2 linked regions of the Arabidopsis thaliana genome follow. The protein of the gene in region 2 interacts with the protein of the main gene of each other region in a pairwise test. Each region holds a gene or a part of one and is shown on either strand. Other genes may lie near its edges.

The links.
Region 1: the proteins of PDF1B (region 2) and AT3G55240 interact in a two-hybrid assay, tested with the Arabidopsis thaliana proteins (one large-scale study listed by BioGRID).

What each region holds. Positions count from the first base shown.
Region 1 is NC_003074.8:20,472,706-20,477,035, reverse strand, and holds AT3G55240 (Plant protein 1589 of unknown function), read left to right. Parts: upstream 1-1,703; 5' UTR 1,704-2,330; coding exon 2,331-2,366; intron 2,367-2,489; coding exon 2,490-2,595; intron 2,596-3,014; coding exon 3,015-3,160; 3' UTR 3,161-3,701; downstream 3,702-4,330. Other genes in the region: AT3G55230 (Disease resistance-responsive (dirigent-like protein) family protein), read right to left, coding at 4,292-4,330.
Region 2 is NC_003076.8:4,726,002-4,730,772, forward strand, and holds PDF1B (peptide deformylase 1B), read right to left. Parts: upstream 2,746-4,771; 5' UTR 2,671-2,745; coding exon 2,457-2,670; intron 2,373-2,456; coding exon 2,234-2,372; intron 2,156-2,233; coding exon 1,963-2,155; intron 1,869-1,962; coding exon 1,758-1,868; intron 1,487-1,757; coding exon 1,424-1,486; intron 1,230-1,423; coding exon 1,128-1,229; 3' UTR 1,093-1,127; exon of another isoform or gene 1,038-1,092; intron 996-1,037; 3' UTR 640-995; downstream 1-639. Other genes in the region: AT5G14650 (Pectin lyase-like superfamily protein), read left to right, coding at 1-327; ARFA1B (ADP-ribosylation factor A1B), read left to right, coding at 3,318-3,465, 3,638-3,708, 3,939-4,058, 4,141-4,259, 4,386-4,494. UniProt on the Arabidopsis thaliana protein: Removes the formyl group from the N-terminal Met of newly synthesized proteins. Has a preferred substrate specificity towards the photosystem II (PS II) D1 polypeptide.

The sequences.
Region 1 (4,330 bases), on a different chromosome or scaffold from region 2:
AATATACGCTCATTATAACTACATAATCACTCATACGGATTCGAATGAACTTTGATAGCATGATCTTAAGAGCTGGATAAGGAAGTATCTTAGGTAAAAGAAATAAGTGGATGAGAGAGAATAGGCGTCTTGGTTTGTAATCTTGTTGACGAGGAGAGGGAATGAGAGAGAAAGTGATCATGAATAGGGTTTGAATTTGATTCGAGGGAATAGTTGCTGTTTCAGGACTCAAATTGAGAGGTCCACATGATGAGGAATATGTGTAGTTTTATTTAATGTCTGAATTTGATGGATCCTTCTGAAACCTTTGATTTCGACAAAACACCCACAATGTGTTTGTCTCTCACTTCTTTACGTAACCTTTGTAGATTCTCTCACTCTCTCTCATGTCCATTTGCGCCACGTCACTCAGATGGTTGTACCATTTGCGATTATTTGATCTCAATGTGGATTGTTATACGTGACATGTCATCGTCCTATTGGTTTAGAATCAAAAACTTTAATCTCCCGCGTCCCCTTACCCAACCAAAAAACTATTGATGATCACTTTGCCTTTTTTTTGGCCGTCCATTATTGTAACGTATACTACACTTGTCATGGTGGTACGACTATACCCAAATTAATACTTTGAGGAGTCAATTACGTAGATGATTAAATTATGAATATTATCTGGAAGAGATCGACGACATTTGGTTGGTGTAATCAACTTTTTCGGGGGTTTGTGTCATTCATAAATAACAAAAATTTCAGAAGAAAAAGAACTAAGTTAATCATTAGACAGAAATTTCAATAGCGTAACTTCAAAAAACTAATTATAAAAAAACAAAATCAACTGTGTAACTTACGTCAGATGTAATGTTTATTAGATGTAATAGGTTCCACTAATCCATATCAATATTATCATTTATGAGATGGAGTGGGATTTTGTCTTTTATGCTACATTAACAAGTACATGATAATTTCTGGGTTTCTTTTACCGGTCTTAATATTAATAAACATGTTGGTATGCATGGTTAAGAGTTAGGACTTAATTAGGAGGAGGCTCATACATATATGACAGAACTGAAAAATTCAGTAGCAAACATTTATCTATAACATGTCGTGTAAATTACGTTGGTTCTTTTTACGACAGAGGTTTACTAATGTATATGGATTATCTCATACTCATAATATGTAGTTACAATATATATATATATATATATATATATATATATATATTATAACTTTTTTGAATCTAGATTATATTCAAAGAAAAAAGAAACATTTATACATGTGAATGCAAAATGCAAACTTTTTAAAAAACAAATTACAAAGATTTTCTATCCTTAATGTTGCTCGATGCAAACCACGTTTGGATCTCATCCGCATATTTCTTCACTTCTCCTTTTCTTAAAGTGCTCAAGTGATTTCAAATGTTCTTATCAATCAACTTACCAGTTATATATTTTATATGCATGGTATTCCCTATTTAAACAAGTTCAACATTCCTTTAACAAAAAGAAAAAGAAAAAGGAAAACAAGTTCATGCCTCTCTTGCCTCACCTTAAGAGTAGACGTACCGATGTTCAGGGGCGACCTAGGCCTCTAATACGTCTTCTTATGATATTTCAATTGTCAAATCGATGGTCACACAACGGTAGTCATCGTAGATATACATTTGATATGTTTGTTACAACAGTTATCTTTTCTTTATTAATGGTAAGCCTTAACATAAGTGTTAAGACTTATGATTATATGCCTTGTATATTTCGCACTATGGTTTTATATTGTTTCAAAAGGAATTCGGTGAGTTACAATTGTTGAAGTCATTATTTTATTTGCCATTTTTTAAAGTATCAATCCTTTAAAATTCCGAATTTATCGTTTACTCTCCTTTTATGTAATCATGTGCTCTTAGAGCCAATACAACTAACTTTCATTTTCTTATATAAGTTAAAACATTAACAAATAGGTATAGATTTAATTTCTAGAAGATTATGGAAATTAAAACACGACTAAGTGTTTTTTTGCAGAAAATGTATAGAGAGAGAGGGGCCATGGATCACGTGGAGGATGCGTGAGATGGAAATGAAAAAACGAAGGGAGAAGAGAGAAAGAGTGATTTTACAAATCTCCTCTAATCCTTTCTCAGCCAATTATGATCAATCTCCCACGTGGGGCTTCTGGCCCCATGCATGCATATCATCTTTCAACTATTCACTCTTTTGTCTCCTTCTTCATCTTTTTGCGTGATCTTCTTCTATATATGGCTGTCTTTATCTCCACAAGTGGCTTTTAGAAAGAAGACTCTCTTTTAAGTTTGGGTGTTAATTCTAGGGTTTCCATTAACAATGGCAGATTCTTCTTCTGCTTCTTACATTCACATGGTAATATTATATTGATTCAAGAACCTCATGTACTTCTCCGGCCGTCGATTCTATGAATGATCTTATCTATTTATCTTTTACGTATGTACCTCAATATCTTTGGATGTGTGTATGTATGTATAGGTGCAGCACATGATAGAGAAATGTTTGATCTTCCATATGAGCAAAGAAGAGTGTGTGGAAGCTCTCTCTAAGCATGCAAACATCACTCCTGTCATCACCTCTACTGGTTTTAATTCCTCTCTCTCTCTCTCCTCTTTTTTAATACTTTTTACCTTTCCGTAATCCTTATAAACACACAAACATATCTGTACCTATGTACTCTCTAACGGGATTAATTATATGTATAAATTATGGAGCTATCATCATATTATGATACCATCATTTAGAATTTGATCATGTAATATGTACTTAATTAGCTACAGATAGGATCTAGCGTGATGGATCGATCTTCAATATTTCTATTCATATAAGTGCTCATGCATAATCAAATTAATGATTATATACACTGACTTGACTACCTGGCGACTAGAACTTATACATATACAAAAAAAGCCAAAGAAAATATAAAAATCCTTGCAACATATATATCCGGCCTATATATTTTGTTATCATAATATTAATGAATTGGAACAAAATAAATGACAGTGTGGAAGGAGCTGGAGAAAGAGAACAAGGAATTCTTCAAGGCGTATGAGGAGAGGCAAAGCAAACAAGAGCAAATGTCGGAGGAAGAGACAAACCAGATGATCCAGAAGATTATCTCGGATTCATCTAAAGAATCCGACGACTGATCGCGATGTTCGATCGTTAGATTTCGAAAACCTTATAGTTTATATATATGAATCTCATGAAAACGATTTATCCCTGACGCATGCATGTTTATAAGTAAATCGTTTTTTCATCTTAGCATCGGTCCAACAAGCAAGACAGCAAAAAAAGGAGTGATGACACTCTTTTTGGTACGTTATACGTACGTGGTCCACATAATATTGCCTCTGTTTAATTATATATAATGAAACGGACGCTAGCTCATACATGGATCGATGGTGTGGTGTTTTAATTGAATGTATCGTGTGTATATATTTTCAAATAAACTATTTATTTCGGGTTTTGGTCACCTTAAAAGGCTTTAGCACTCTTGGAAATTTTGTATCATGGTTTCCATATGCTTGCAAGTTTCGGAACCCAAAAGTCCAGATTTTAGCCAGATCAGTAAAAACGTTGATCAGCTGTTTTTTGGTCCATGATCGGCTGTTTTTTTTTTGGGGAACGTCTATGCAGCCATTTTTGTTTTTAATAGAAATTTCTTCAAATTGAAAATTTACATTAATTAAACAAAAACAATAACATGGAGAAAAAGTTCTTGAACAATATCCAATTAATTTGCGATTAAGTGGTCAAAATGTGTCCGATCCTATGATCAGCCCATAACTTGAACGTTGTTAATTTGTTATACCTTGTGCAGAAATGTCTTTTTGGGTCAAAGTTCATAAGAAAACTCTCACTTAACATGCGTTGTTAAGTGAGTGACTACTCACAAGAGTAGTAACACGTTTCAATTTCCAGCCCACGTAAATCTAGACTACATGGCTCCTATGTAATAATTCTTTCTTTTTGTTGGTAAGTAAACAAAAAATTATAAAAAGGATTTATTCTTACGTTAACTTGATATAAAAATGGAATTTCGAGAGTATATAGTATATACAAACGAATAAATAGACCGGTTGAAATGCAAAAGGTATGTATTTGCCAAAAAACAGAGAGTTTTGAATATAAAGAATTAAAGACAAAGATTGTCATTTAACTTTCTTTTTTTCAGTACAGTAAACGTGCACAACACAATATAGACCACACATTAAACTTATAAAGAAGAACATACAAACGAAACAGAGGAATTTTCTTTCAACAAATGCCATAACTCTTCAAGCTTTGTAGTATGTAAGATAAACACTGAAATGGAG
Region 2 (4,771 bases):
ATAATAATAGATCAATATTACTGCGATGGTGGCGGATGCCACAATGAAACTTCAGCAGTCGCTGTATCAAACATAAACTACATAAACATAAAAGGTACCTACACCAAAGAACCTGTACGCTTTGCCTGCAGTGATAGCTTGCCATGCACAGGAATCTCACTGTCGACCATCGAGCTTAAGCCAGCCACAGGAAAAGCAAGTTCACTTGATCCTTTCTGCTGGAAAGCACACGGTGAACTGAAGACAAAAACTCTTCCACCAATACAATGTTTGAAAACAGAAAAGTCACCGGAAGCTGCAAGTCGGTCTAATAATGATGCTTGCTGATATTAGAGTAAGAAATTATGTAGAAATGTTAAGATAGGCCACACATTATACGAATAAAGAAGGGTTTGATTCCCTTCCTTTGTCTTATACTAGTTTTTATAAATCATTTGCAAACACAATGTAATATATGGCATGCAATGTATTGCATTCTGTTATAGACAATTGGAAGTTATTGAGTTAGTCCCAACCCATAGCCTAAGGAAGGATTTCATCTGTGAAGCAACAATCTAACAATTATGACTATTTGGACCAGTTATGATAGAACACATCACAAGTAATATACTTCTTCGAAGAAAAGTAATGTCATCTGAGGGATGCAAAGAAAGTATATAAAATGAGAGCTAAACAATATATCAAAAGTCTAATTACCAACACATGTAAACAACTAACGCATTTTACTTTGTAACAACGGATAAACCACGACATGGTTCAACTTAGTCGGCAAGAACATTCTTAACGCAGTTCCAAAGCTCAAGCTAACAGCACAAGACAGACAAACTGAAGAAATATATTACTCAGACCAAAATAAGATTCTGAAATATATGATCTGTGTCTCAACCGTACATCCTATTTGGGAGATTTGCATCACATAATGTGATGTGCTCCTCTAAATTTAAAAAGCAAACGTGTCTCTTGTCATTGTCTGCTTCCTATACCATAGTAAATTCCTGCAGTGGAAATTAAGTAGAATTTTTCAGGAAAAAAACCCAAGAGAACAAAGAATAAAACCTCAACTCAGAAAAAACAGTTGTACTCATATCCTACACGTAGATGAAAGGAATTTGAGCGAGAATGTCTCATCAACGTTTGCCAAAACCAACTCCTGCTTTCCTTTTTTGTCGTGCTTCTACTCTTTCAGGGCTTGGCAATCCAGTTTTTTCTTCGTACTTCTTTTCTAGGGCCTACAGTACAAAACTTGTCAGGAATATTATAGAATTACGATGATAACAAACATTTTAAGACAATAGACTACTGAATGAAAAGATGTTCACCAAAGTCACGAGTCACTACTAACATACAAATGGTAATTTTATCCACGAAATTTAACTAGTGGTTATTGTAGCTTTAGACTCTGCCCTGCTACAGTTTTACTCACCTCTAGCTCTTCACGAATGCTATCAAGAACTTGATCCGTCATTCTGTCAAAGAAGAGAACTCCCTGTAATTTGAAGAATGTTCCATCAGACCGAAATGAAAGCTTGAAAGTGATACTCACATACAGTAACACAAAATACCTCCATGAAAACAAGTAAAAGTGAACAAAAGTACTAAAGAAGATAAGGCCCGTGAGTAAATGATGACACTTTTCAATGTCGAAACATCAAAATATAAGTGACTGCAGCCATTCAACTGTACATAGATGTACTTTCTGTGTTGTCATTGCTATATTTAATCAAGCAAAGTTATCAAAATAAAAGTGGAGAACAAACCTCCAGATGGTCGTATTCGTGCTGAAAGATTCGTGCAGGTAAACGTGATAGACTGATTGAAAATCTTTCACCAGTAATATCCCTTGCATCAATCTTGACAGATTGTGGTCGCTGAAAGCAAAACCAACCACATAAGAACCGGTTTCCAAGAAACAATGAGCAATAATAAGGTTTAAGTAATTCAGTCAAGAAAGGGTGGACATACAACAACTTCAGCATAGATCCCCGGGAAGGAGAGGCATCCTTCATCAAACGGTACTAATTTATCGGAATATTTCTTGATTTTCGGATTTACAAGGACAATTTCTTTTCCTTCTCCAGGCTCTCCAGCTGGATTAAACACCATGAGTTGAACATTGAGACCTACTTGTGGTGCTGAGAGCCCAATGCCATCCGTTCTGTCCAATAGCCATATGTAATCACAGTATCACTCTGTTATTAAGTACTAAGTTACTTACATTATAAGGAGGACTTACTTGTACATAACATCAAACATAGCATCAACCAAGTTCTTTAAATTCTCGTCAAAAATATCAATCCTCTTGTTCTTAGCCCGTAGTATAGGATCCGGATACTCAACAATCTTCAAAGGCGTCTCAAATTGAACATCAGTAGCTTCAACATTATCACAAAATTACAATCATACATAAACAGTACATGCTCATAGAGTAATCAATAATAGATAAGCAAGTCTGTTACCTGAAGCTACTTTATCGTCTTTACGCGAGACGCGCTTTACTTCTGCGCGGACCGAAGATGTCAGAGGACTGGTCCGGTTCACAGTAGAGCAGAACGTGACCGTGGATTTGAGCCGACCATAACCGGCAGAGAGAGTAGTAGCTCGGCGAGATAAAACCGGTAGGAGTATGCGAGAGAGTGGTGGAGCTTGGAGGAAGCAGTTACAGACGGCCATGGCTAGAGAGGAAGAGTAATTTCAGACGAAGCGGAAAAACTGAATTTTGTGTGGAGAGTAAGTAAAAGATTGAGTAGACCATTTTGTAATTCTGCTTTTGTTTAAGGTGCAATTCCGAAATATTTATATTTTATAAGGACGATTTTTAAAACCAATATTCTATTATTAGAGCTTTTGTGAGGAGAGACATTTTCTCTTTCGAAACTCGCGGCTTGCTCTACAACAGGTCCTTCTTTGGAGCTTCTTCGAAAGGTAAACAAACTCTCACACCATTCATCGATTCAAGTTCTGTATCATCGTTTCTCAAAATCTCTGGTATATTGATTTTCTCGGTCTTTGATCTCCATCTTTCTTAAGAGTATCAAGTGATTGATCGATTGATTTATCTGGTTTATACGTTCTTCTTCTTTTTGTTCATGGTCTAAAGGTGTTATTCGTCACTTGGCTTTGTTCAAGGATCTCATTATCTATATTTTTTTTAATCTATACGAACTTTGTTGTTAAGGTTTTTTGGAATGTTAACGTGATCGTGTTTATCAATAAAGATTTAGTGTTTCGTGTTTCTTTTGTTGGTCTTCAGTTATACAGAGAATTTCTTTAGAGTATTGTGGTTTGCTTTGGATGTAGGTGCTAGCTAAAGGAAAAAAATGGGGCTTAATTTCACAAAGTTGTTCAGCCGGCTTTTTGCCAAGAAAGAAATGAGGATTCTGATGGTAGGTCTTGATGCTGCTGGTAAGACCACTATCTTGTATAAGCTGAAGCTTGGCGAAATCGTCACTACCATCCCGACCATCGGTAAGGTTTAAGGATTCCTTAAATCACAGTGTCTGTCGATGTGTACACTTAGATTAATATTTTATGTGTTTCTTACCTGTGTGTAATCCTCCGCTACGGATTTTATGTAATCCTCTTCTGCATGGAAGTTTTGTTTCTTAAAATTTAATGTTAAGGAGGGTTTCGTTTCCAGGATTCAACGTGGAGACTGTTGAATACAAGAACATCAGCTTCACTGTTTGGGATGTGGGGGGTCAGGACAAGGTACATATTTAACTCTTGCCATGTTTATGGTATACTGTCCTCGTGATGCTTTATGCTCTGCTCTGGTTTTGGTGTGACTAGTAATGATCTTTCATAAAACCTGGTTATTCATATCGTGCAAGCTCAATTTGAAATTTTAATCTCCACGTCTAGTATCTATGAGTGTTTGTCGTCTTCTTTTTTTGTCTGATATTTGACATTAAAATGCACTTCCGTAAAAACATAAACAGATTCGTCCCTTGTGGAGGCACTATTTCCAAAACACTCAAGGTCTTATATTCGTGGTTGATAGCAACGACAGGGACCGAGTTGTGGAAGCGAGGGATGAGTTACATCGCATGTTGAATGAGGTTTGCCTTCTTTCTAGTTTTCTCTTGTTACACAGTTAGACTGAAACAACTTCCTATAATTTGATTTATACCATGTTTGTAGGATGAACTGAGGGATGCTGTCCTTCTTGTGTTTGCAAACAAACAAGATCTTCCCAACGCAATGAATGCTGCAGAAATAACTGATAAGCTTGGTCTTCACTCTCTTCGCCAACGCCATTGGTAAAGTTATTTTCTTTCTACAAAGTTTTTCATTAATTAATGTGGTTAGATTGAAAAATAAAAAAAAATGTGGTTAGATTGATCACATTGTGATAACATGTATCTTATGTTTTTTTCTTTTAACAGGTACATTCAAAGCACTTGTGCCACATCTGGAGAAGGTCTCTATGAAGGCCTTGATTGGCTCTCCAACAACATCGCTACCAAGGTAAATAACTTAAATATCCCATTTTAAAACTAAGTAGAAATTTGAAAGGAACACTCTTTTGAAAGTATTGATGCACTTAAATAACATCCTTAGGGGTTTTAGATTATATCTATATATACAGTTTTGGAGACATTTAGAGGAAAAAATCATTATTCATGAATACTGATCAAACCTTCATTTTGATTGAGTACTGAGTAGGCATGATGAAGCTGAACACTTTTTGTCCTTGGAGACCATTAGTGATTGTGGAGAAGAAAGAAGTATTATGTCTGATTTTACAACGGTTTATAGCATCCATCCGTTG